Rattus norvegicus: one gene and its partners. The protein of the gene in region 3 purifies or fractionates together with the protein of the main gene of each other region. This does not show direct contact. Links are inferred from orthologs where the notes say so. Each region holds a gene or a part of one and is shown on either strand. Other genes may lie near its edges. The genes, in order: Actr3, Arpc2, Arpc1a, Actr2, Arpc4, Actr3b and Arpc3.

Region 1 (3,500 bases), on a different chromosome or scaffold from region 3:
ACCCAAAGCCTAAACAAAAGGTGATATACCCACCCAGTAAACTAGGACTTGGTAATATAAAGAAGCATACGTGCTATAATAAATAATTTCAGAAACCTAAGTCTAAGTGAACACAGCCTGTCACAAAGAACAGAGTATATCATTCCATTTCTGTGAGGTTGCTGGATAGGCAAACTATTCACACAGAAAGCCTGTAGCTGACAGATGTAATGTGCACCATACTTGGAAGCTGCCATGTGCTCACTAAGAACTTTCCTGCCTGTGTGTCCTCATCTTCTTCCCTACATGAGCCATGATGCCAGCTGAGACCATCAGCACAGATTACTCTGCTACTTTTTTAGGTCTTTAAGTGAAGTCAAATCTGGGCTTGATTGTGCCACATGTACTGCGTGAGGTCCAGAACCCTGTTCTCAGCTCTGGGACCTTTATCAGTTACAAATGGAACTATGACTTTGGGGCACAGCCTGCTAAGGAGCTGCCATTTGCCTCCTTTTAGCACTGTTGATGTTCTTAAGACCCTCCAGATCCTCATGCAGCCCATGATTATAGCCCAGAAACAGCCTCGAGTCTTGTAAAGATCTCACAAGTTCCTACCATTTACCCCCAGGTGTACTATTTCACATTTTCTTTAGCAATTTTTTTACTTACCACAGGAATGACATGAGTGACTCCGTCTCCACTGTCTATTACTGTACCCGTCAGTGTCCGCTCTCCTACTTGTCTTGAGGTCCAGGATGCAGCTAAGGCAAGAACAGCCTAAAAGGTAAGACAGACCAAAATAAACTTTTAAAGAGTTACTAGGGGTGAAAGTCTACAGAAGTAACCTGTAATGACATTACATACTTTCTGCAATTTATGGGCCCCTTAATATCCTTGCATCAGGATACTTAGAAAGTTCAGTGTTTAAAAGGAACACTCTCTTCCTAGAGCCACAAGCAAGAGTGACACAAACATCCTCAGCTCCGGAAAAAAACAAAAAAACAACAACAAGAGTGACACAAACATGTATGTAACAAGCACACCAATACCTTCTCCAAACTTAAATACCACTACCCAGACTACCACAAACTACCAAGCTCTACTCTTCATGAGCCAGCAAGCATTACTCTTAAAAATTCAAACTCAAAAGTTTCTGAATGCTATCTGCACTTAGCACCGTCCATATACGAGTACTTAACTAAAAAGGCCACATGCACTTCCAGACAGCCTGAGTTATCTAGAAAACCAGTAACACACAACACCATTTTTCCTACCAAGAATCTCATCAAGGCTAATACAAAACAATTCTTTCCAGGGGGTGGGGGGGGGGTGGGGATGGGGGTAACTTTTATAAACTGAATTATCATTTTTTAAAAAAGGTAATTTCTTAAAATCAAAATATATGAGTAGTAACTAAAAACAAATGATCAAACTAACTTTGCCCACTTACAATGTAATACTGAAAGGAACCAAAAGGTATTTAGTTCACCATCCTCCATTAAAAACCAAAAACAAACAAACAAATCTCCCAACAATCATTTGGCTTCAGACTCCTGAGATTGAGGCCATGGCTCCTCACTCTATTTTAACAATAACAACAAAAACATCATTTTAATAATACAATGACTGTTTATCACCACACAGTATTTTTTAAAGGTTTTACAATGAACAGTTTCACATAATGTTAGAAGAAAAAAGAGAAAAATTTTGAGATTTCATTTTGAAATATACTTTTTTGGTAAATCCTGTTTTGTGATCATTTTCTACAAAATAATAAACAATTAGATCCCAAACTAGAATATGCATATATTAATATACTGGGCTACAGAAATCTTATTGACTACTGCACACCAAAGAAAGGAGCAGATATAAGCAAGTGAATGAGAAGCACTGAGGAAGTCAGGCCAAGCACAGCACTACTGTGTCTAAATTTTCACTTTAAGAAAGCGTGGTATGATTTGAATTATGGTAAAGGTTTCTGGGAAAAGATATGCACGGTTCAGGAGAAAATTAATCCTGGATGAAATGTTCACGTCAAGCTTAAATAAGCATAAGTCACTTACCTGCACAGCAATGTACAGGCCTGGAACATTGAAGGACTCAAACATTATCTCAGCAGTATATTCCCTGTTTTCTGGAGTATTCAGTGGAGGTTCAGTCTATTGAATGAATGATATTTTACATAGACAATATTAAATCATTTCAAACTTTATAGGTAATTTCTAAAGGAGAAGTAATCTATAAAATAATTTATAAGGCACTAAATTTATAGGTAGAGAGAGACACAAAGACTATAGGAAAACTGTACAGAGTAGAAACAGACCAACACATATATGAAAGTAACATGTTCTCAGTGTCTGTATGCTCCTTCTCTTTTTGTTTTTTGTTCCCTGTTTGTTTTGTCCCATGCTGGCTTGTTTATGTCTTTAGATGCTTGTTTGTATTCTAATGAGATAGAAACAAAAGGGTATGGATTTACGTGGGAAAGTCGGGAAGATCTGCGAGGCAGTGGGGAAGGGGAACTGTAATCAGAACATATTATAATTTTATTTTCAATTAAAAAACTGAAGTGTTCAATATCATTACAAGTCACCAGGAAAAGGCAAATTAGGACCAAATCAAGAGCCATAATGACTAAAATTAAAAAAGATTAACTGGCTAGAATGCAGGTGCAATTCAATTAAAATGTTGGGTGAAGAGTCACCCTAGGCCACAGCTCTATACCAGTTAAGTGTCTGCCCTACAACAGAGCAAGTCCACAAACGGGATGAAATTAATTGTCTACAAGGACAAGAATGTTCAAAGAGACAGACTGCATGACGTAAGTTTTACTATAGCACATCTTGTATGAATTCATCTGTGTAAAACCAACTATAGGCAAGATTAATCTCATTTGTTAAGAAAAGTTAAAATAGAATGAAACACTGGTTGCCTCTAAAGAATGAGAAGCATAAATTAACTAGAAAAGGTATTGATAATGTGTTATTTAAACATCTACAACTATCAAAACTAAAGGGGGGCCAATCACCTAATTCTGAAAAACTACTTCAGAGGGACACATCTATATCATTCAGTCCATTACGTATGGTCTGTGGCTGTTCTCACTCTACAGTGGAGCTGGACGGCTGTAACAGAACTCGTTAAACTCTCATTTGGCTTATTCAGTATCCATCTGGCCATCAGTTCACCTGTCTGTCTGTCTAGCTAGCTAAACTATCTATCAGATCTACCTACCTATTACCTACCTACCTACCTACCAGTCTCTGGCCCTTTTTCTTTTGTCACATCTGATCAAAATCCACAGATGATTTAGCTTTGTCATTTTTATAAAAACTTTATATGAAAAAGAATATAAACCAATAATGAACTATTCGATGATGGACATACTAAGTGTTTAAGCATGAATTGATTCTCATCTGTACATAGCTTATTTTGATGTGATTCAAAACCAAAATGCATTAACAGATGGATAAACCAATGCATGTCAAAACTGTTATGCTAAATGTACTTATACTGAAATG
Region 2 (4,033 bases), on a different chromosome or scaffold from region 3:
TTTCGGAGCTGGGGACCAAACCCAGGGCCTTGCGCTTGCTAGGCAAGCGCTCTACCACTAAGCTAAGTCCCCAACCCCGATTTATTTCTTTCATATATATGAGTACACTGTAGCTGTCTTCAGACACCCCAGAAGAGGGCAGGGGATTCCATTATAGATGGTTGTGAGCCACCATGTGGTTGTGGGAATCGAACTCAGGACCTCTGGAAGAGCAGTCAGTACACGTAACTCTGAGTCATCACTCCAGCCCCTACCTGCACACTTAAAACAAATATTCCCACTATCAAACCAAAAAAAAAAAAAAAGTTCATTGCATAGAGAAGGGGCTTAATTAAAATTGTTCCTGGAAGAGAGAAAAATGGAAACATGGTACCCACGCAGAAAGGACAGTGGAGCACAGTGATAGAAAATTCTAACTGTAGCAGAGTTACTGGACCATGAGGATCACCTGAGGTGCACTTAAGCAAAGAAATGAAGGTGTGACAGGAATCCCGGAAGGCCCATCTGGATTCCTGTTAACTTTCTTGACTACTCATTCCTTTCCTTTATTGCCCAGTAACAATGTGTAGTTCATTGAGAATTTATTGTGTCTCCTTTATCAGACCATAAGCTTTAGGAGGGTAAGTCGTCATATTGCATTACACGATGCCCACTAAACAGTCGCTGGCAAAGAAAGGCACGAAGGTGCTGCAGGGTAGCCCTAAGTAAAGAGCATCCACAAGTTAGAAGCAAGAAGTTCCCCCAAAACAAGCTTCTTACGGGGTTTCAGAAATAATACCGGAAGGGTGGAATCGGGCCTCTGGAATATTCGGGAAAGGCGCAGGTGGATTGTAGTAAGGACAACAGGGAATGACAGGTGAGCGTTGGACTCAACTGGTCAGGAGAGGCGGGGCGGCGTGCCGCGCATGCGCACGCATGCCCTCTGCTTGCCTCCTTACCGGGACGCGCTTGCGGGCGTGTGCACGCTCGAGGTCGAAGCGGAAATGGCGCCGCGGGGCCGCGCGTCCGGGCGGCGAGCGGAAGTGGGTGTGAGAGCGGAAGTGGCCGGCTGGAGCCGGGGGCTGGGCGGGGACCGGGATCGTCGGTAAGGCGGCGGCGGAGGCGGCGGCGGCTCGGCAGGCGGGTTGAAGCTTCGGGGGCCAGGTCGGTCGGGTGGTGGCTGCCTCTACGGGCAGCGCGTGCCGGGCCAGCGCGTGTGTCCGCCTCTCCCCACCCCGCTCCCCGTCCCCTTCTCCCCTCACCTACCGCACCCAGCCCCCCTCGTCAGGGGCAGCGGGGCCGCTCCCTCAGTCCTACCCTCGCTTGCCCACCCTCACCGCCCTTGTTTCTCCTTCCCCTGCTCGGGGCAGCCGCCGCCATGATCCTGCTGGAGGTGAACAACCGCATCATCGAGGAGACGCTCGCGCTCAAGTTCGAGAACGCGGCCGCCGGGTAAGCGCACACTGGGAGGAGGCCGAGTTGACCCTAGCTAAATCCCGGGTGGCGTCCAGCTCCCCAGCCCTAGAGGGAAGAGGTCGGGAACCTGGCGCGGCTTCAGGGTTTCCTTAGCAGGATGGACGTGGGAAGCCACGGGGCGCGGTAAGCCGAAGGCCTAAGATGCGTGGGGAGAGGCTGAGACAGGGATGCGGAAGCAACGAGAGGGCAGGAGCAAGGCGTGCCAGAGAACAGACGACCTGTGGGACGTGAGGGCAGCCGAGGCCAGAAGTCACGTCCGAGAGCCTACTGTCCTAAGGGGGAAAGAGAGGGCCCCACTTTCCTCTATATTTACCGTCATTGTTCCGAACCCAGAAAGACCCTTTTGGGGAAGCTGGATTGAATGGAGTTTTTAGGAATTCCCAGGATGAGGTGGGAAGAACATGCAGGCCCAGATCGCCACCGGCATTCTGCTTCCCCACCCCCATCTCTCCCCCAGGAGAAGCAGGAGGCAAGACTGAAAGCAGACCCAGGCTTCTAGGAGGGAAAAAACCCTCTAACCTACTGCGAGAGACACTAGCCATTTTGTTACATATCTCTTAGGCAAAGCCAACAGTTCTCCATCCACTCTCTTTAGCTCTCAAGACAAGGTTGATTTGGTTGGGTGTCTTAAATTCTTATCCAAGACACCTGATCTTTGATTTCTAGTAATGCCCGCTGGGTTAATAGCTGCCTCTCCCAGAATCTATAAAGTTCTTAAGATAATTATTTATTAACATCAGCATCTTAATATGGGACGTATTTCAACCCTTCTCTGTCAAACACAAAAAAGCAAACTCCTCCCTTAAAGCTGCTTTGCCTCCCTAATGTATTTAAAACCTGAGCAGAGGTTTTAGGTTCTAATTTATGGTGGCCTGTGGCCACTCCTTTGCCTCATTTCCTCATTGGTGAGGATGGGGCTTCACATTTTGGTTTCACAGTTAGGAGGTAAGTGCAGACTGTTTCTGTGAACGGGGAACTGGAAATAGGAAAGTGCTTGCAGATCCACAGAAAGGAGAGGATTGGAAGGGGGGATTCATTCATTCTCCTCTTTAATTCTAAGCATTTATAATGAATGTGTGGTTCGCTGACACTGAAAGCATGGAATACATTGCCTGTTCTGTCTCTTTTGTAAGGCTCCACGTTTTATCTGCAAACAAAATAGGACAGTCCTTGAATTGGTGCGTTCAGTGAACATAGTTTCCTGCCCTGAGTGCCGTTGAGCACATGCTGCCTATTCACTCGCTCTTATTCACCTTGTTTGCATTTTGAGTTTTGGAATTAGTCGACACACCGGGGCTTATTGTAGGTGATGGGGTGTGTGCTTTTTTTTTTTTTTAATTAGTGTGGCACAAATGAGGAAGTTAAGATAACTTCTGCATTTTCACAACTGATCTTAATACATACATTCTCAAGTCTTGACTAGCAAAGAATGAGTCCTGGGTGGTTATAAGCGGATCTACAAGATAAATGGCTGCGTGTGTTCAAGTGGAGGCATGCCTTTAAATGGAGGAGGACTTTCATAGTTATTTATTTGTTAATAACTTGATTCTAAAATGTGACCCACTATTCAGAACCTTATGTAGCCCTTTTACTTTTAGAAAACTCTCCTTAAAGTTCTGTGGTCGGTGATGTATGCCTGTAGTCCAGGCACATTCAACTGTAACCCCAGCTTTCAGGGGCTCATATGAGCGAGACAGGAACAGCAAAAGTTCCAGGCCCTAATGAAACCTTGTATTTAAAAAAAAAAAAAAAAAAAAAAAGGCCAGGCCAAACTAGGTGTGATGTGCTTGTAATCTCAGTTCTTAGGCCATCCTGGCCTACCTTGTTGCAGAAAGATTAAAATAGAGTTTTAAATTTGGAGGGCATAAGTTAGAATTTCTGGTTTGTTTTTTGTTTTGTTTTGTTTTTTTGGATAAGGATGCTCACTGTAGCCAGGTTTAATGTCTGAGGCAGTAGTATGTTTTGTCTTATTTAGTTCATCCTTGGGATATGTGGCTTAACAAATATGCTCAAAACATTGTGTTTAAAAAAACTTTGAGAATCTTTGAGAAGAGACTGTGAAGGGCTGGGGTTTCCTGAGATTGCCTGTTTCTGCAGGGTGTGGTGGTACTCTCCCATAACCCTAGCACTCCTATAACCCTGGCAGCAGGGCCAACACAGGTTCCAGGCCAGCCAGGGATTATTTAGTGAGACTCTGTCTCAAAAGAAAAGAAAAGCCAACCTCTAAGCAAGTGTGCTCCAGTCTGCCTGTCAAGATGAGGCAGCACTGAAGTGGTTACTGAGGCCACGCGTACACCACTGCTGTCTTCTGCAAGGATGGGTCTCATCGGAGCTCAATGCCAGGCAGCAGTTGAAAGAACAGGGAGCCTTTTGAAGACAACCTGTTAGCAAAGTTAGGGAGGAACTGATGGACAAGCTCTGTTGGGAGAGGATAGAAAGCTTAAAGAAAAGGAGTAGCCCAGAGAGACTGTGCAGAGTGAAAGGCTGTGCAGGGTAGAAACCTGGGAGAGCTCAGCTCCACACTGCTCTCTGCACTTCTCAGAACAGATTAATAGGGAAATTCTGTTCATGGTAGCCT
Region 3 (4,132 bases):
TACAGGGCTGGGGAGCTAAGGTTGTGGATGATGTTAGGTAAGCACTGTCAACTGAGCTACATCCCCAGCCATGATCTTTTTTTTTTTTTTTTTCTTTTTTCTTTTTTCTTTTTTTCAGAGCTGGGGACCGAACCCAGGGCCTTGCGCTCGCTAGGCAAGTGCTCTACCGCTGAGCTAAATCCCCAACCCCTCCAGCCATGATCTTTATTTTTACACTTAGCCTAACATTCTCAGACGTGTGTAAAGCCCCTGCTGTGCATGAGCAGACCCCTAGCTTCCACCAACCCTAAAGCTAAGAGTACTCTAACCTAGTTTGAAACCTAAGAAAGATTGACTCTTCTTGCTATAGCCCTCCTACCTGATGTTCCCTATAACTTCGCTATATGTACTGACTTATGGCTTTCTCTTGTCCTGCAACTATAAAAGTTCACCAAAGGGGTTGGGGATTTAGCTCAGTGGTAGAGTGCTTGCCTAGCAAGTGCAAGGCCCTGGGTTCGGTCCCCAGCTCTGAAAAAAAATAAAAAAAAAGAAATTGCATCTACATAGCAAACACTCTTCCCATATTTCCACTGCACCTCCTTGCAGTGTCACTGTGGGTGTAGAAACAAGTGCTCCTGATCTAGGAGCGGTCAAAGGCACTCTTGGGTAGACATGAGACTTTCTACTGAGGGTGCAAGGCACGGACAGCCCTCCAGGCAGAAAGTAGTCTACCTACCAATCCTGACCCACCCTCTACGAAGGTGCATACGTAGTTGCAAGGGAAAGAACACAAACCTAGTTGCAAGGGCTGGCTAGATAGCTCAGTTTAAAAGACTGTGCTGTTCTTGCCAAGGACCTGAGTTCAGGTACCACATGGGGTAGCTTACGGTTCTAGCTCCAAGAGGATCTGTTGTTCTCTTCTAGCCTCCGGGGCACCTGCACTCACATGCACATACCAACACAGACATCCACATGAATATTTTTTAAATTTTTGGAATTGTTCTTCAGAACCAGGAAGCCTGAGAGAGCCTGTCTCAGTGATTTATGACAAAAAAACACTTGAGACTGCACACTTTATGACACTGCACACTTGGGCCATGGCTCAGGAGTGTGTGTGTGTGTGTGTGTGTGTGTGTGTGTGTGTGTGTGTGTGTGCTTAAGTCTCTTTAAAGAAAGGAGCAGGACTCCTATCCAGTTCCATAAGCACGCCCTAGCGCTGACTAGCGGCTGCCTCATCTGAGCAACCGCAGCCATTCAGACAGAGCACCCCAAAGAGGGCTATGTTCTGCGCCTGCGCCCGGCGGGCAGCCGAAAGAGGCTGCTCTGCGCAGGCGCCCTGACCACTTCCGGGATCTGTCAGCCGCTCCCTCTAGGCCTCCCTCCTCCGTCCGCGCCCGCCGGAGCCTGTTCGCGTCGACTGACCAGAGTCCGCGAATCGTTCGCTCCGGACCTCCCGACCTCCCCTACCCCAGGTAAGGAGCTGCAGGGCCGAGAGTCTGGTCCGGGTCGCCTCCATTTCTTGTATGTTCTATGGCACGCGGGGGCGGCGGGCCCAGGTCGGTTAGGCGCGGGGTCTTGAGTTGAGGGGGCCGGGATCTCCGTTCTTCGTGGTTACCCCTGAGTCCCTGATCCCCACCTCCACCCTACCCCCCAACACACACAGACACAGACCGAGCGTTCCTGAGCACTTTCCAGCTGCCCTCCGTCTCGGATGGGAGAAGGAACAGCTTGGCCTCCGACACCCCCACAGTTCCATTTGCACCCCTACTGTGAGCGTTTACCACAATCTGTAAAATTAGTTTAGACGGGCCGATCTCCCCCGATGGCTTGTCACGATGGCTTGTTCATCTCTTCAACGTCTAGGATGTTGCCTAGAGCAGCCTCCGATCCATCAGTTATTGGGGAACCCTCCCCAGCAAGAGAAAACCCATCTTTCGAGTAGCCTTAAGATTCCTTTGCTCCAGCCCCCGCCCCAAGTCAAAGTTGTACTCTCCTCTTCATTCCGATTCATAGGGTCCTTTATGTAGAACCGCCGGAGTTCCCATTTGACTCTGCCATTTGTCAGGTGTCTCTGGAAAGGTTGTTTCTTGATGCCTCAGTTTCCCCAGCTGCAGTAAGAAGATTCTTAGTCCGCTTGGTTTTATTGGGTTCATGTGGAGTTCATTTGCTTGAGTTGCTTACAGTAATTCCTAACCCAGAGTAGCTGATCTAAAATAAGTAACAGCCGTTACTAGTGCCTTCATTTCCTTTCTGCTCTTTCCTCCGGAGAAGGACTTGAGGACTAGGTTTTATTTATGTTTCTGGCCCCATTCAGATACTTAACATTGTTGGGAACTTGGGAAGCACTTAATAAATTGCACCTTAGAATCTCTGAGTATAAAACCATCTGTTGTCGTGGTGCGACTTGGGAGGCTCCTATCTCCTCCTTGCCCAGTTTTCTGAAATGACCTAGTTTGGCATCCTATCTTATCAGTGTCACGTAATCTTTTGGTTTCCATGTAGGCCTTAGGATTTCAGATCTCTAGAAGTTATCAGTTCGGGGTGCTGTCTGGGGGCGTGGGGCTTCTTCAGTTCATCTTCTGTCACAACTGGGGGATCCTTCTGGAAATTGCAGACTCCTATGGAGGATGGGTGGCAGTGTTTTGATCTAAATTATCTAGCGTTAGGTCAAAATAAGTTCTCTATAGGAAGTGTGGAGATGGTCTGATGAAGCTGGAATTTAGAATGAAGCATTGGTAGGGTGTGGTAACCTTGTTGGAGCTCTTGTTGGTATCGCTGGGTTGGGTAACGAGAGCAATTAGTAACTAGATGAATCACAGATTTGAAAATGACCCTAACAGGGAATGGAAGTTCTAACTTAACATGAATTTGTCAAGTTCTAGTGGAATGGAGCCAAGACATCAACATAGGTAGACGTGTCCAAGTTCAGAGGATCCTTCTAGGGCTGGTCCAAAGCTTTGTGCCAGAGACTAATTTACTGGGCTTGCAAGATGGCTCTGCCATTAAAGGCTAGACTTACAGAAAACTAACTTATTGGGGTCCGGTCTGGGGTGCTTTTATGTGCTATCTCACTTAACCTTCCTGACAGTTGTCTTGTAATGTCATTTGGAGATGAAATGAAAAACGTCCCAGCGTCTCATGATGTATGTGTTAAAACGAAGATTCAAACTCAGGTCCCCTTGTCTCCAGATGCCATGGCTAACCAGATAGTAAAATGACTCCACTCGAAGGCTGGGAACGTGGCTGAGTTGGTGGAGCCCTTGCCCTGGTGTGCATAGTGTGCGGGTTGGCTCCCCAGCAGGGCAGGAAGAAAAGACTGTGCTAAGTGAAAACCGAAGAGAGTAGGAGCCCATGGAGTCACCTCTTTTTCAGTCCTTTTCATCCCTCAGTGCTGGACAGCGGCAACAGAAGCCTGGGTTTTTGGTCGTTGGTTATGTTTGAGACAGATTCTTAATTGTATATAGTCCTGGTTGGCCTGGAACTCACAGAGATCCTTCTGCCTCTGCCTCCTGAGTGCCCAGAAAACTTATTGTTCACATAATCACCTAGAGTGTTCCCCTTTCTCCTTTTGAGCCTTGTTAAGATTTTCAAACACTGCTTAAATATCACCTGCTGTTTAGTGATTTTAAATTATCACCATATGAATAAAGGTTCGTTTTGCTTGGTACAAAATTGTGGCTTAAAATAGCCAAATGACTATAAAGGAAGGACATGTCTGAATGTATGTTCAATTATAAGACTTGACTGAAAGAACAAAATTAGAAATGCAGTTGTAGAAGTAATTCTGCTGTTCTTTAGGAAGTGCGTCCTTAGAAACCCCGAGTGAGAGAATGAGAAGTCTATCTGGAGGTGTGACTCTCAGCTCTTCATGAACTAGGTGTCCTCTTTGCATGTGGATAACCAAGGCACTAGCTTACAAACCAGCTTTGTTCCCTTAAAAAGCAAGTCCATCAGCTTTGGGGTCTAAGCTGCATTGTTCACAGTTAGTAATATTTGTAACAATCCATTCTTTTAAGGTTTATCTGTGTGTGTACGTTGCCATGTGTGTGGTTGCCATGTGTGTGGTTGCCATGTGTGTGGTTGCCATGTGTGTGTCTGTATGTGACTGCCATGTGTGTGGTTGCCATGTGTGTGTTGCCATGTGTGTGGTTGC
Region 4 (3,500 bases), on a different chromosome or scaffold from region 3:
AATTGCCAGTAACCACATGGTGGCTCACAGCCATCTGTAATGGAACCCAATGTTCTCTTCTGGTGTGTCTGACGATAGCTACAGTGTACTCAAACATAAAATAAAAAATCTTAAAAAAAAAGAGCCCAGGCTGCTCACTACAGATTACCAAGGACACTGGACTCAGTCACCTGTATTCCTTCAACACAGTGGTAACCTCGTAGGTAGGAACAGTTTCCGGTGAGCCCTGTAAGTCTTCAAGAGGCTAACTGCACAGAAATCTGTTAGAAGACCTCTGGCTCCCTCTAGTGGTTGTCAAGATCCAAAGGCTACTTTACAGGGCTTTAAAAGATACTTACCGAAAGTTTCTCCACATCTCCTTTCAGAACTCGTTCTAGGTAAAGCTGTTTAAGCTCTCGTTCCAACCTCGATGGCAGGCCAGGATACATGGTAGAACCTCCAGAAAGCACAATGTGCTTGTAAAATTCAGATCTAGGAGACAGAGTGGGTGTTTAGTTTCAGATTATGAAAATGGTACTCTATTTTTTCTTTTTTTAATTTTGGGCTGCAGATGAGGCTTAGCAGAGCACTTGCCCAGGAAGCACAAAGTCCTGGGCTCCACAGCAGCACCACACACGCCAGATGTCTACAAAGTGGAGAAAGGAAGATCGGAAGTTCAAGTCTCTGCTAAATTAGAAGTACCACGACATGGAGGGAGGAAAATCAGCTCGACACCACCTATCACATAAATTAAATGGCAATAAACGCCTGCCCAACAGATAACCAACAACAAAGCACACGCTCTGCCCTGAGCTGCACACGGAACTGAATGTTGGGGGAGACTTCAGAGCAGCAGAAGGCTCTCTACTGCGCAACGGCCAAAACAACGCAAACACAAACATGCAATGGGTCAGCGGTGTGCGTCCGTGGCATGCCTGCCCACATTTCCTCATGCAACGTCTCTGTGGCCTCGTTCTGAACACAGTCCTCTGTGCGGTGTTCATGCAGCCATGCCATGCCGCCCCTGAGCTCACCCAAGACTGTGGCATGTTAGAAAGCTGGTACGTACAGCTTTCTGCTCTTACGAAAACATGAGAGTGAACAAAGACATTTTTCTACCATCGACTCTCGGCACAGTGAGTATGAAATCAATACATTTTTAACCAGCACTTGAGAGACAGAGGCCAGCCTGGTCTCCATAGTGAGTTTCAGGATAGCCAAGGCTACACAGACAAACCCTGTCTCAAAAAAAAAGTAAAAAACTAATATTTGAATTCCTAATTTTTGAGTTTCATTAAAAAAAAAAATCCTTATGTGAATTCTGACTTGAGATTAGCCCAGAGTCTCCAATAATTTCTGAAACGGCCTAAAACATATTTGTGCCATTTTGTTCAGCTGTTTTTTGCAGCACTGAGGTTTGAGGCTAGTGGCTCACACACGCTGGCTAAGTATTCTGCCTGAGAGGGCCTCATCTCTGTTGTGTTTTGAGACAGGATCTCACTATCCAGACTTAGGTGGCCTGAAACTTGCTATGTAGGCTGTGCTGGCCTCAAACTCAGATCTGTCTCCCAAGTGCAAGGATTAAAGACATTTGCCACCGAATCTGGCTAGCACTAACAATTAGAAAATCAAAACACTGACCAACTAAAAACAGTTAGAGTCTTCAACTGGACTATCAAATATTCAGCCAAGATTTCTTCTTTTGGTGTGTGTGGACAAGTCTGAAAACCAAAATCTAGGTCTTATACACACAAGGCCAGTGCTCTACCACTAAGCTACATCCCAACCCAAGAGTTCTCCCTTTCTTCCTTCTGATACAAGGTCTCATGCTGTCCAGGACTGACTTCTATATAGCTATGGTTGGCCTTAAATAGGTGTGAACCACCATATCCAGTTTAAGATTTAATTATTTTTAAAAAAGATTTATTTTTATTTAATGTGTTTTTCTTGCATTATTGTGTACGTCATGTGTGCCTGGTGCCTAATAAGGTCAGAAGAGTGTTCCAGATTCTCTGGTACTGGAGTTACAGATTGTGGTAAGCTATCATGTGGGTATAGAAATCAAATCTGGGTCCTCTGCAAGAGCAGCAAACACTGGTAACCACTGAGTCATTTCTCTATCCCCAAGACTTAATTCTTTATGTAAAACCAAATAAACCCATTCATTTCATTAGTATGGAATTTGTTTTCATTTTTAATACATATAATATATATATATATCTTCATGATTATCAGTAAATATTTGCCTATGCTGAGAATTATGTAAAAATTTTTCAGCTAAAAAGTGTTCATAGCCAGGTAAAGTGGTATATGCCTTTATTTCCAGCACTTGGAAGACAGAACCAGGTGGATCTCTTTTTTTTTTTTTTTTCCGGAGCTGGGGACTGAACCCAGGGCCTTGCGCTTCCTAGGCAAGGGCTCTACCACTGAGCTAAATCCCCAGCCCCCCCCCCAGGTAGATCTCTTAAGAGAGGTCATCCTGGTCTACATAGCGAGTTTCAGGCCATCCAAGGCTATATAGTGAAATCGACTCCTTTCCTCAAAGGGTGTATATGATAGCTATTCTTGGTTGTCAACTTGACTACATCAAGAATTAACTAAACCCCAAACACAGTGGGGTACATCTGTGAGGGGTCTTTTCTTAATTTGAAATTGGAAGACCTATTTCTAATCCAGATCTTTTAGATGGGAAGACTCACCTTTAGTGTGGGCCACACCCTGTCTGCTCGAAGTCTATATAAGAGCATGGAAGGAGGAGGCTGCCCTCTTTGCCTGCTTGCTCTCCCCTCACTAACAAGTCCATTCCTTCACTGGCATTGGAGCCTACATCTTTGAGATTTCAGCTGATCCTGAAAACCTGTCAGGACATCCAACCTCGTGGACTGGATTCCTGAACTAGAAGGCAGCCACTGTTCGATTAGCTAAACCACAGCTTATAAGTTGTTCTAATAAATCCTGTGTGTGTGTTTGTGTATGTGAATATATGCATATTCATGAATATATACATACATATTCATTCTATACGTTTTGTTACTCTAGAGAATCCTGACTAACATAGGGGTGTCATAAGTGAAAAGTTTAAGGAACCCTGACATAAATTATGGTCACCATTACAGAAAACAGTATAGAAACACTCCCCAAAACTAAAGATGGAGCTATCAAACAATTCAGCAATCCACCACTAGATACATATCTCAAGGAATAAAGAAATGATAGACACAGTAAAACATCATTCTCTCTTAAAAAAAGGAAACCTTATGATTTGTAGCGATGAAGACAGGCCTGGAATAAATTGTGTTAGATGAAGCCAGGCCAAGTCTGACAGTGAATTCAGCAGCAGAGAACAGAATGATGGTTACCAGGGACACTGAGCTGGTGACTGAATCGAGGAGGTGCTAATCAAAAGATATGCAATTTCAGTTAGATAGGAGTCCTATCACACAACACAGATTCCATTTGAAAAGATACTGTATATCTGAAAAGCACTGAGTTTGAGGCCAGCCTGGTCTAAAGTGCAAGTT
Region 5 (4,139 bases), on a different chromosome or scaffold from region 3:
GTTGTACAGGCAGGTCTTGAACTTATGATCCACCTGCTTCAGCCTCCCAAGTCTCTAGGTGTACAAACCTGCATGATTAGGCCGGCCTCCTAGTTGCAATTTGAACCACTGTAGTCTCGAATCTGCAGCATTAAGGGAGAGGGGATACTAGTGTGCTCTGCCTTCCTATGTCCTCTGTTTCCTATACTGGGCCATTTCTATCTAACGGGGTTCTCCCGGCCTCTCCTTGCCTCACTCCATTCCACCTTTGCACCTTCTCTATGTCTCTAACTAGTTTGGAACACAGGCTGGTTAGGCAGACAGAACTAAGTTCCAGCCATTTTCTTATGTGCCTTTCTAAACATGTTATTTAACCTGAATCTCCGTTTTGGTTTTTGGGTTTGTTTTTTTTTCCAGGACAAAAGATGATGCCTCAGTCTATTTCCCCATTAAAAAGTAGGAATCTGTAAAATGGGGGCATCGAGAGTACCTACCTCCCTGGAATGTTCTGAGGATTAAGAAGTGATGCTCGTCAAGTGCCCAGCTCAGTGCCTGGCACAGAAGTGGGACTGCTTAATGGCTGGCTCCACCTGTGTGTCGCCCCAAGATCCCGCCTCCAGGGTCCTTGTCCTCTAGGGAGCCCCTAACACAACCCCCGCCTCTCCTACCTCCTCTCTGCGGCCTCCTACAGGCCCCGGGCCGCAGGAGGGGGCGGGGAGTCCAGGGCGATCGGAGCAACTGCTCCGGAACTGGCTATGGGCGGGCCCCCTGCAGTTGACGCGAGGGCGGGGACACGGCCAGCCCACAGTGACCTGTAGGGGTGGGGGCTGGGGGGGGTCTAAGGCCACCTACGAATCTCCGGGAAGTGGAATGCTAGGCCTGAGGAGACCGGGGCTAGGAAGCAGCCCGGGGCTGGGGCGGGGCTCTGAGCTCAAATCTCAAGGGACTGGCTACCCGGCCGAACCCTAGGGTTGCTAATGGGAGGAGCCCGGAGAGGATAGGGGAGCACCACCGGAAGAAACGTCGGGCTTCTCCGGTTCGGCCTGTCCTAATTTGGTGCCCAACCTGAGGTCGGGCCATACTATTGTCACACGGGGGGAGGCTACAACCAAAGCGCCAAGCGCTAAAGGCGCTGGAGGGATACGTGTGGGGACCCAAGGGGCCTCGACTGCTGTTATGTCACTGCAGATCTTCTACAAGTCCCAGCGGTCCCAGCGTGAAATCGCCTCAGAGATCTGAACATCCTTCGGCTCTTCTTCCCTGGTCCTGCCCGAGATGGTCCAGCCCGGAAGTGCTGTCGGGGACTGCGGCTGCGCCTCTCTGGAAAGGGCAGGCGTCCCGGGGCCGGGCACTTCCGCACTTCCGCTTTCCGGCCCAGACAGCGCCCGCGATGGTGAGAGACCAGGGGCTGGGGGCCTCCCTGTGTTTTGCCTGGAGAGGCTGTGGGTCTGGGGAAGATGCTGCTTGCTGCTAGGGCTTGCGACTGGAGGTTGCCCTGGGATGAGGGGGCACAGTGAGGATGGAGAGGCAAAGGGTGGGGCGAGGACCGAGGCGAGGAGGAAGGGGCGAGCTGGGAGGCTCTCCCAGGGCAGAGCAGGCCCAGAGGCTTCCAGGTTGGGAATCCCGGGCAAGAATGGCCTCTCTCCGAAGTTTGGAGGAGGCAGGAGACGGGACTGCTAGGCCTGTGGTGGTGGCTTGCAGTTGAGGTAGTAGGACCGCTGAGGAATGCAACGGGACCTCCTCTCCCTCCACGGTAGAGATTCGCTAAGTACAGCCCCCTGTCCCCGCCTGTCTCATGGTACCTCAAAGCAAGTGTCCACTTCACCTTATTACCTTCTCGGCCTTCCTGGAAGCCTTGCCTTTCAGCCCCCAGTGAAGGTTCTGTGTCGCCTCCATGCAGACTCCTTCCTGGGTGTTCAGTACCGTGTTGACCTTAACGTGTGTAAATTTTGATAGCCGCTGGTCCTTCCCTTCCAGGGGATGCTCGGCTCTGGTATCTGTGGGTGTTCCGTGCAGTTGTTCCCTGCAAGTTCCGTCTCTACCTACTGCTGTCCCTGGTCAGCTTTAATGACCTGAGTTCTGAAGGCTGGGCTGCTTGTCGCGCTCCTGTGAATACTGTCAAGGGAGAGACTTCGAGATTAGACCCTCTTTTTCAAAAGTCGTCTACTTTTCTAAGCTTGTTCCTGTGTCCTAGGTCCTAACTGGTTTCATTCCTCAGTGTGAAAGCTGTTTTCCTTCTGTCTAGCTGAGGAGCTAGCTTTGTGTGTTTTTAAGCATTCAAGTTTATTGTACGACTTCTTCAAGCCACTAAAGGGTAAATAGTGCAGGTTGGCCATCTAAAATTTGGATTTCTTTCAATGAACTTTGACAAGGTAATCATGTAGCCACAATCGAGGTAAAGAACAGTCTATCACTTTTCCGACGGTGCTTGCCACCCCACACAACTAATTTTGCCTTTCCAGCTTTGCCTCTTCTTGGTTGACATATAAGTAGGATTCTGTAGGGTGTCGCTAGAAGCCACTGCTGAGCTACATGACCGTTGGTTTTTAGCCCTTCTCCCCTCTGTCTGATGTGTGTCTGCCCCTGTGATTGCTGTGCTTGTCTCTGCTGCCGCACAGAGCTTATACTCTGTGCCTCTTCTCTGCCACAAGTCTCACTTCCCTCTCCATTCCATTCTCCAGAGAGCCTCCGTGTAGCTGTAGTCCTGTGACTTCCTCCTCAGAAAGTCCCAATGCTTCCCGCTACATTGAGAGAGAAACTCAGTGGAAAGCATTCTAGACTGTCTAGGGTTTTATCCCAGCCCACCACTGCAGCCTGCTTGCTCCGTGTGATTGAAAGCAGTTCTCACACACAGAAACCTTCACTCGTTACCACTTGGGAAGTCTTAATGCTCTTTTGTGTAAATCCAGCCCTGCTTAGGTTAGTTCATTTACACTACAGAAAATTTGTATGACACTATGTATAGGAAGGAGGTACTGAGCTGGTTACAACCTGCATGACTGAATTAAAGTTAACGTCTGTAGACCGTGAGAGTTACAAACTAGTAAAGGAAATCTTATTTGACAAACTACATGGCATTCTGTTGTGAATTATATGTAAAGTGAACATACCATAACCTATAACAAATGCATTGCGGGGGAAGTCCACAAGGCCATTTTGAGGAAGGAAGAGGCCTTCTCTACTGAGCTGATCTCTGAGAGACTGACCTAAGTAAGGAGGAGGAAAGCCTGAAGATGATGCCTCTCGGCATGTGATAGGCCCTGAGGGGAGAGAAAACTTGACCGAGACAATGCAGCTGGCCATTATAGCTGACCTCATCCACTCTGCTGAGAATGTCTGGGTTCTACTTTTTCTCATTGTAAAATCATCCTGATCTGTATGTGGTGAAAAACAATTTCTTTAGACAGTATAGACTATTTTTAAGCCTAGTTAATTTTATACTTGGCCCTCAGTCAGCCCTTGTGATCCTCACCCAGTTGAGCTGTTTGAGGGTAGAGGTGATCTGACTGAATTCCCAGCACATTCAGGGCATGGGTTGATACTTCTGTCAATGTAATAAGCAGATAGAGACGTGGATCCTTCTAGATCGGTATTACTTAGCTTTGGCACTGATAATGCTGCGTAATTCTGTTCTGCATGCCAGGATATTGGGCAGCATGCTTTGCCTGTGTCCACTTATATCTATAGTACCCCTGTCTCCAGGTCAAGACAGTCAACTTTTTCTTCAAACTTTGTGAATTGCTAAGCCAAATTATTGACTGCTGGGAACTGCTGCTCTAGATCTTGATTGGACTGCATCTTGAAGTCTGGGTATAATCTGTTCTGTGTGACAGCCATGCCTGAAGTCATCAGTAGCTTCAGTGGAGGGGCTGACTTTGTTTTGATGAGGCAGATTCTGATCCTTCCTCTGTCTTGACTTTATTCCTGCAGACTGCCACTCTCCGCCCCTACCTTAGTGCCGTGCGGGCCACACTGCAGGCCGCCCTCTGCCTGGAGAACTTCTCTTCCCAGGTCGTGGAACGACACAACAAGCCAGAGGTTGAAGTCAGGTAGGGAAGGAGGTCAGAGTGGGCTGAGGAGAACAGCTCCCAAGAACAAACCCTGTCCAAAGGGGGCAGAAATCCATGCTCTTGGATTGTCAGGATACCTTAAGTAACATT
Region 6 (4,004 bases), on a different chromosome or scaffold from region 3:
AAGTTCCTCAGGCATCAGTCAAGAACTTTAGAGGCTAATGTGTAGGGCACAAGTGGGATTTCCGGTAGGTAGGCAGTTTCCTTCTTTAGTCTTGGTTTCCTCAACGATGCTGGGTGATCACCCTATCTTTCATATTGGAAATATTTCCTAGTTCTGTTGGTGTGGTATTGACTTAACCTAAGTGTTCTAGGTCATGTCGACTTGACACACTGTTAAAGCATGATCAATATAATAATATACATGGAGCAAATGATGCTAAACACACAGCATTTATTCCTTAAGACTAATTATACATTTGTTGATTTTCTCCCAGGATACATTTATGCAATGTTCTATCATAGAAAGTCGTCAGTATTTTTTTCTACAGTGAAGGTTACTCATTCATTCAACATTCAGGTGATTACTATCAGAGCGCTAAAGGTGTTAAGCATGAGGCCCTGTCCTAGGAGACCTAGTTCAGCAGAGGTGCTTATCTATAAATAAGTACCCAAACTAGCTTTAAAGGTTAGAAACAAAATCAGGAGGTTGTTGGGGTAGAGAATGAAGGGAACACCGAAGTGAGAATTAAGAGAAGAGAAAGCGGGGCTAGAGAGATGGCTCAGCTATTAAGAGCACTTGCTGAGCTTCCAGAGGACCCAGTTCGGACTCCTGGTGCCCACTCACTGCTGTCTATAACTTCAGCTGCAGGGGATCCCAAGCCTCTGGCTTCCAAGAGCACCTGCTCTTACATACATGCACCTACCAACAGACAGACACACACCCAATGATATCAAAAAAGTTGCAACTAGATAAGCCGAGAGTGGTGGTGCACACCTTTGATCCCAGCATTACCGAGGCAGAGACAAGTGGGGCTAGCCTGGTCTACAGAACAAGTTCCAGGACAGTAAGGGCTACACATAGAAACCCTGCTTCGAAAACAAAACAAAACAAAATTACGATTTGAAAAAAAGAGAGAAGAGAAAGAATTCAGGCCTCGCAAATGGGGTCATAGTCATCTTATGCTTGTTAAAAATAGACTCCAATCTCTTCCACTGCAGGATGGATGCAGAGGCTAAAAAGCCTAGCTGCCAGCAGTAAGGATGGCTGACAAGGGGGCGGAGCGTGCGCGTCCCCGATTGGCCAACTGTAGAGTGACGTCACGAGGCGGAGCCTCTGGGTTCCCGGCCGCTCCTGGGTGGGGAGCGGCGCGGGCAGCGACCTGGCAGCTAGGCTCTGGGTCCCCGGTGCACGCTGGGGCTGGTGGGGACCGAGCGCCTCGTGGACGAGCATGGCGGGCTCGCTGCCTCCCTGCGTGGTTGACTGCGGCACCGGGTAAGAGCCGCGCCCACTCACGCTTCGCTGGGCGTCCTGAAGCCATTTCCCCGCGGGGTCAGACCGCTGGAGGAGCGCGGAGGGACGAAGCGCTGAGGGACAGAGCTCAGTCTGAGGGTTTGGGGAGTTTGAGGGATAGGGCTCAGTCTAGGGGTGGGGTGGGGAACTGTGGGGACGGAGCTCAATCTGAGGGCATAGAGAGCTAAGGGATGGGGCTCTGAGAAGATGGGGTGCTGAGGGCATGGGGCTGCGGGGTTGCCGGGTGGGCAGCACCTCGTGGGGATGTTGCTGCAGATGCTTTCGCTGCAGGTCTTGCACCTGAGAGCTCAGGGTCCGGCCCCCTTCCCCCCACGACTGCTCCCCCCCACCCCCATGGTGCTTGTCACCTGTCTTCATACTTTGCACTCATGGGCGTTTTACCTTTCTCTTCTGATGTACCAAGCACCTACTTGTGGAGATGTTTACACGTGCCTTGTCAACTTGACACCCTGTCCCCCTTCCCACTCTGCTCTTTTCCACTCTGAATGGCACAGCCAAGCCCAGCCCCTGCTTTGGTTTGCATGCACTCATCTTTGCTTTACACACACACACACACACACACACACACACACACACACACACACACACTGACCGATGCATTTAAAAAAGACTAACATTTTGAATAAAAAGTCTTCTTTTTTGGGAGGTAGATAGCTCTTTTCTTTTTGGAAGACGTTGATTTTTTTTTTTCAGAGGAGACCTTAAGCGTGGCTTATGCTGTCAGGCTTAGCTAATTTTAGGAAGGTGGCAACCAAGCCCTCCAACCTGGGGGTTTGGGAATACCTGCTGGCATTGCCGACAAAGTACTTCATAAATAGCCTGCAAATAAATTTAGCCTCTTAAAATGTTTTTCAAGGGATTGTAGTCCTTTGTCACCAAATAGTCTGTGGCATGTTCTCTTGCTATTCTTTCCTGTAGAAAAATATACTTGGTTTGGTTTCCTTGACAACCTTGTGGGGGTGTCTTCTAATTTGTTACAGTCCATCTCCTACTGATGTGTCTTTCCTTTTGGTACTCGGGAACCAGCAGTGATGCAGACTGGAAAAACATCCTTTATTTGTGCTAATTCTTCTTTTGGAAATACACGTTCTAGAGAAGTTTTGTTGCCCTGTATTTGAGAAGTTGCTTACTTCCAGACATGCTCAAAGCAGTAGGGCTCTCCCAGCCCACTCTGTATGTGCTGGCTCCCCTTACAGTCTCACCCTAACTGGTACTCCCTTCAGTCTGGTAGTGTCAGCAGTGAAGGCAATATGTAAAAGTTGTTTGTTTTAACGTCTGCGGGTGAGATTTTTGGTTGCTGAAATACGAAGCATTGTGCAGTGGTACAGCAAAACAGTTCTCCCCGGGTTTATAAACTGTGTTTTATTTCTTATTAGTAAGCTGAGATCTTACTCATTGTTCTTGCTATAAATATCTAAAGCATGCTCAGTTTTGACCTTTTGGGGTCAGTGATTAATGCTGCTGTCACCTCCAGTGGATCATCATGGCCCTGGGTGCCTCAGGGTGTCATCTGTGGGCTGTCATAGGCTCTGGACACAGTGCCAGGGACCTGGGGTTCCTATGGGGTGTTTTCTGCCATTGAAGCCCCTGTGGTTATCATGACTTCCTAGTGCTCAGTGTGTGAGCAGAAGGAAGGCTGCATAGCCTAAACGTGCCAGCTTCCATGTATTAGTAATTCTTGTATTTATTTTGGATTGAGTTTTTACCTCAGAATAGAACTAAATGTAAGATACAGCTGAAAATAGCAGGGGCTGGGGGACAGAATAGACTTGGGAGATCTCATTTTGGACCAAGTTATACCTCAGAATAGAACAGTGCAGCTAAAAATAGCAAGGGCTGAGGAACAGAATAGACTTGAGAGATCACGTGGGCACTGCTGATGAAATAAGTGGACAGATTTTTGTTTTGCATTGTGTTGTGTTGTTTTGATGGTGATAGGCGTCAAACCCAGCGATATTGGTAAGGGAAGCCTCTGCCACTGAATTGCACCCTGAGGTCCAGTCTTGTCCGTCTGTGTGCCCTCTCTGTTTCTCTGTCTTACTGTCTCTGTCTTTCTCTTAAATAGAGTCTTCTCATTGTATAACCCAAGCTTGAACTGGACTTGAAGAAATCCTCCTGCCTCAGCCTCCTAAGCGTTAGGATTACGGGTGTGAGCTAGCATGCTCATCTGGCCTGTGTTTTATAGGAAATACATTTCTTTTGTGACCTCGAGTCTGATGAGCTGCCAAGCTAGCTGAGTGGACACAGGCATGCTGGGGACAAGAGAGAAACAGACGAAGGTATCTGTGAGGCCCAAAATTAAGTCTCAACTATTTAAAGGCTGCTGAGCTCCCAGAGAAAACACCACAAACCCTGTCTCACATCTCACCCAAACGTTTAAGGTAGTTTTACACAGTTAAACCATCTTTGAAGTGATTCCAAGCTTACTGAGAACTGGGAGAGAGCAAATCTATTCTTCCAGGTTCAGCGGCTTTGAACGTCATGCCACCCAAGACTCCTGAATGTGCTCTTACTTTTCTGAGCTGCTTAAAAGAAGGTTGTTGGCATTACCCTCCTAGATTTCAGTGCCTACTTTCTGAGTGAGAGCAAGGATTTATATAATCCCAGACTCGTCAGAGAAGTTAACATGTGTGCAGCACTGCTGTTCCCTCTGC
Region 7 (3,500 bases), about 25 Mb from region 3:
AAGTTACCTCAGGAACTGAATGGGGAATCCAGAGTACAGCTGAGGGCGGAGTGGACATTGCACCCTGATGACTGCAAACACTTAACAACAGGTGGTAAAAGTGGGTAACCCCAAAATTCTCAGACCAGACTGGGAAACAAAGCTGTGATCTGCTGGAGGCAGAGGCAGGCAGTATTTCTGTGGTTTGAGGGCAACCTGGTCTACAGTATGAGTTCTAGGACAGTGAGGACTATACAGAGAAACTCTGTCTTAAAACACACATACACAGGGTTGGGGATTTAGCTCAGTGGTAGAGCGCTTGCCTAGCAAGCGCAAGGCCCTGAGTTCGGTTCCCAGCTCTGAAAAAAAGAAAAGAAACACACACACACAACCAAAATGGACCAGTAAACAGACACTTTTCAAACTAAAACATGAATGGCCAGTAACTATCTTGAAAAGTGTTCAACACCTCTGGTCTCAGGGGTACACAATTTAAATGCTCTGAGTGAGACACTACCTCACCATAGCCAGAAGCCGATCATTAGGAACTCTGACACCATGAGGTGCAGTGGCCAGCCATGGCAACACAGCAAGACCTTGTCTTTAAAAAACAACAAAGTTGGGGCTCGAGACCCCATATGAACAACAATGCCAACCAACCAGAGCTTCCAGGGACTAAGCCACTATACATGGACTGACCCTGGGCTCCAACCTCATAGGTAGCAATGAATAGCCTAGTGAGAGCACCAGTGGAAGGGGAAGCCCTTGGTCCTGCCAAGACTGAACCCCCAGTGAACATGATTGTTGGGAGGAGGGCGGTAATGGGGGGAGGATGGGGAGGGGAACACCCATATAGAAGGGGAGAGGGAGGGGCTAGGGGGATGTTGGCCCAGAAACTGGGAAATGGAATAACAATCGAAATATAAATAAGAAATACTCAAGTTAATAAAGATAAAAAAAAGAAAACAAACAAACAAACAAACAAAAAAACCAAAGTTATGGGCTGGAGAGATGGCTCAGTGGTTAAGGGCACTGACTGCTTTTCAGAGGACCTGGGTTCTGTTCCCAGCACCCACATGGTGGCTCACAACCATCTGTAATGAGATCTGATGCCCTCTTCTGGTGTGTCTGAAAATAGCAACAGTGTACTCATATAAATAAAACAAATAAGAGGGGTTGGGGATTTAGCTCAGTGGTAGAGCGCTTGCCTACGGAGCGCAAGGCCCTGGGTTCGGTCCCCAGCTCCGGAAAAAAGAACCAAAAAAAAAAAAAAAAAAAAACCAAAAAAAAAAACAAACAAACAAACAAAAAAAAAAAACAATAAAAAAAAACACAAATAAGTCTTAAAGGAAAAAAAAAAAAAGACTGAAGTACGGAAGCACACGCCTGTTACCCCAGACCCGGGGAAGAAGGCAGGAAGGGAGCACACGCCTGTTACCCCAGACCCGGGGAAGAAGGCAGCAGGAGCACCACAACTGAGGCTGGCTTGTTTGACCTCCAGGCCCACCAGGGTTTCAGAGAGAGATTTTTCTTCTCACATATCCAAGCAAGGCTTAAATAACACTGGGGTATGGTAAGAAACTGACAGAGGGCTGCAGAGATGGCTCAGTGGGTAAGAGGGCTTGCAGAGAAAGCTTGATCACCTGAGTTCGAATCCCCAGGACTCAGTGTAAAGTCAGACGTGGTTTAGTGATTTATGGTTTATTATCCTCTCACCTCCAGTTGTGGGCGGTGGCTCACATGGGCCCTCACATACAAATCAGAATGAAAAGAAAATGACTACTTTTTTGTTTTTAAAGTTGACCAAAGAAATAATAGCTTTGGTGGAGAAAGGTTCATTTTCCTTCCATTTTTTGTAAATTTTATTTATTATTATTATTATTATTATTATTATTATTATTATTATTATTATTTTTATATATGTGGGCAGCCAAAGGAAGGCAAAGGAAACAAGTATTCCCTGTTCACCAGAGACCTTGGGCATGCCTGGCTTTCTTCCAAGTTGCTACGTCCCTGAAAAGGGCACACAGTCAGCCCTTTGGAGAGGGAATCACCTTGGACTTCCTTCCATTTTTGGAGACAGGTTTCGCCCTTGCTTAGGCAGGTCTTGAACTACCAGACTCCAACCACCTCCTACCTCAGCCTCCTAGGTACTGCCCGTGCCCACGTAACGCTGTCTGTTGCTTATTTTGTCCAGCATGGTGACAGAAGAAGGCTGGGGACCTGCCATTCAGCCAGTCTGAAATGACTGACAGTGCCTGTGGGGACTGTGGCCAGAATTCAACACATTTCCTCTTTTTTTTTTTTTTTTTTTTTTTTTTGAGACAGAGTTTCAAGTAGCCCAAGTTGGCCTAGAACTTGCTGAGAATGACTTTGAACTTCTGATCTTCCTGCCGCCTCCTCCCAAGTGCTAGGATTATAGGTGTGCGCCCCAACACCTGGCTCTCAGTGTACCGTAGATGGGACCCAGGCTCTCCTCCATGCCAAGCAAGGTCTCTACCAACCCGGCCACATTTCCTTTAAGCTCACGCAAACATCCTAGGTTTTGAGAAAGCAGCTTCCTGTGGCGTGGGTAACTGTGATGCCGCCCCGTAGAGTGTAACAGGAAGCTGAGTACACGTGAATCAAGCTAAGCTCGTTCTCAAGTCAGCAGGTCTGTCTTGACCCCGAACAAAAGGACAGCGAGACTTACTCTCTCGAGGGGCGGGTCCTTTGAACTGGCTTCGGATGGGCAGCAGTGCCATGTTGCCAATGAGCTTGGTGTCAGGGTCCATGAGAGAAGAGTGGTAAGCCTGCGGAAGGAAGCCAGCAGGGGAGAAAGAACAAGTGTCACTAGGAGACAAGGCTAGTCCTCCAAAGGAAAACACCCTCAGGACCAACTGTGGGAGGAGAGGGCTGGTGGCAGCTACAGAGAGACAGCTCCTGACTCAAGAGAACAGACTGGTGGATTCTGAGACGTTCTGTCAGCTGGTTAGTGAGCACAGCCGTTCCCTAGACATTCACTGCAGAGACCACACAAAACAGGCTTCCCACCCGCCAGCTAGCCAGGACCCAAGCCCTAGTTTTGAAATCTGCCACTTCCTGCCTTATGACCACAACATGACTCTTCCTTGAACTTGTTTCCCCACCCCCAGCCCCTTCAACCACAACACGTAGCCCAGGCTGGTGGTCTCTCACTCTCACTCACTATGTAGGTGAGGATGACTTTGAACACCTTTAAAATTTATTTTATTTATATGAGTACACCTTAGCTATCTTCAGACACACCAGAAGAGGGCATCAGATCTCATTACGGATGGTTGTAAGCTGCCATGTAGTTGCTGGGATTTGAACTCAGGACCTCTGGAAGAGCAGTCAGTGCTCTTAACCACTGAGCCATCTCTCCAGCACCAACTTTGAACTTCTACCTCCCCTGCCCAATGCTGGGATGACGGGCCTAGATAACCACAGAACTGGCGACTAAACCAGGGCTTCAGGCACCCTAGGCAACTGCTTGCTCTACCAACTAAGCTCTACTCAGG

The links.
Region 1: the proteins of Arpc1a (region 3) and Actr3 purify together in Homo sapiens (affinity purification with mass spectrometry; 7 studies listed by BioGRID and IntAct, counting the BioPlex papers as one, with this or other methods). This does not show direct contact. The link is inferred for Rattus norvegicus from reciprocal best matches to the Homo sapiens genes ARPC1A and ACTR3.
Region 2: the proteins of Arpc1a (region 3) and Arpc2 purify together in Homo sapiens (affinity purification with mass spectrometry; 8 studies listed by BioGRID and IntAct, counting the BioPlex papers as one, with this or other methods). This does not show direct contact. The link is inferred for Rattus norvegicus from reciprocal best matches to the Homo sapiens genes ARPC1A and ARPC2.
Region 4: the proteins of Arpc1a (region 3) and Actr2 purify together in Homo sapiens (affinity purification with mass spectrometry; 9 studies listed by BioGRID and IntAct, counting the BioPlex papers as one, with this or other methods). This does not show direct contact. The link is inferred for Rattus norvegicus from reciprocal best matches to the Homo sapiens genes ARPC1A and ACTR2.
Region 5: the proteins of Arpc1a (region 3) and Arpc4 fractionate together in Homo sapiens (co-fractionation; 7 studies listed by BioGRID and IntAct, with this or other methods). This does not show direct contact. The link is inferred for Rattus norvegicus from reciprocal best matches to the Homo sapiens genes ARPC1A and ARPC4.
Region 6: the proteins of Arpc1a (region 3) and Actr3b purify together in Homo sapiens (affinity purification with mass spectrometry; 5 studies listed by BioGRID and IntAct, counting the BioPlex papers as one, with this or other methods). This does not show direct contact. The link is inferred for Rattus norvegicus from reciprocal best matches to the Homo sapiens genes ARPC1A and ACTR3B.
Region 7: the proteins of Arpc1a (region 3) and Arpc3 purify together in Homo sapiens (affinity purification with mass spectrometry; 8 studies listed by BioGRID and IntAct, counting the BioPlex papers as one, with this or other methods). This does not show direct contact. The link is inferred for Rattus norvegicus from reciprocal best matches to the Homo sapiens genes ARPC1A and ARPC3.

Annotation. Positions count from the first base shown.
Region 1 is NC_086031.1:39,369,010-39,372,509, forward strand, and holds part of Actr3 (actin-related protein 3), read right to left. Parts: intron 2,139-3,500; coding exon 2,043-2,138; intron 757-2,042; coding exon 649-756; intron 1-648. UniProt on the Homo sapiens protein: ATP-binding component of the Arp2/3 complex, a multiprotein complex that mediates actin polymerization upon stimulation by nucleation-promoting factor (NPF).
Region 2 is NC_086027.1:83,268,902-83,272,934, forward strand, and holds the start of Arpc2 (actin-related protein 2/3 complex subunit 2), read left to right. Parts: upstream 1-1,357; coding exon 1,358-1,431; intron 1,432-4,033. Other genes in the region: uncharacterized protein LOC103690558, read right to left, coding at 613-700, 779-1,259, 1,317-1,359. UniProt on the Homo sapiens protein: Actin-binding component of the Arp2/3 complex, a multiprotein complex that mediates actin polymerization upon stimulation by nucleation-promoting factor (NPF).
Region 3 is NC_086030.1:14,636,253-14,640,384, reverse strand, and holds the start of Arpc1a (actin-related protein 2/3 complex subunit 1A), read left to right. Parts: upstream 1-1,332; 5' UTR 1,333-1,451; intron 1,452-4,132. UniProt on the Homo sapiens protein: Probably functions as a component of the Arp2/3 complex which is involved in regulation of actin polymerization and together with an activating nucleation-promoting factor (NPF) mediates the formation of branched actin networks.
Region 4 is NC_086032.1:98,504,093-98,507,592, forward strand, and holds part of Actr2 (actin-related protein 2), read right to left. Parts: intron 472-3,500; coding exon 339-471; intron 1-338. UniProt on the Homo sapiens protein: ATP-binding component of the Arp2/3 complex, a multiprotein complex that mediates actin polymerization upon stimulation by nucleation-promoting factor (NPF).
Region 5 is NC_086022.1:148,076,560-148,080,698, forward strand, and holds the start of Arpc4 (actin-related protein 2/3 complex subunit 4), read left to right. Parts: upstream 1-1,339; 5' UTR 1,340-1,369; coding exon 1,370-1,372; intron 1,373-3,909; coding exon 3,910-4,028; intron 4,029-4,139. Other genes in the region: Tada3 (transcriptional adapter 3), read right to left, coding at 69-74. UniProt on the Homo sapiens protein: Actin-binding component of the Arp2/3 complex, a multiprotein complex that mediates actin polymerization upon stimulation by nucleation-promoting factor (NPF).
Region 6 is NC_086022.1:10,086,563-10,090,566, reverse strand, and holds the start of Actr3b (actin-related protein 3B), read left to right. Parts: upstream 1-1,204; 5' UTR 1,205-1,267; coding exon 1,268-1,311; intron 1,312-4,004. UniProt on the Homo sapiens protein: Plays a role in the organization of the actin cytoskeleton.
Region 7 is NC_086030.1:39,840,937-39,844,436, forward strand, and holds part of Arpc3 (actin-related protein 2/3 complex subunit 3), read right to left. Parts: intron 2,772-3,500; coding exon 2,672-2,771; intron 2,041-2,671; exon of another isoform or gene 1,898-2,040; intron 1-1,897. UniProt on the Homo sapiens protein: Component of the Arp2/3 complex, a multiprotein complex that mediates actin polymerization upon stimulation by nucleation-promoting factor (NPF).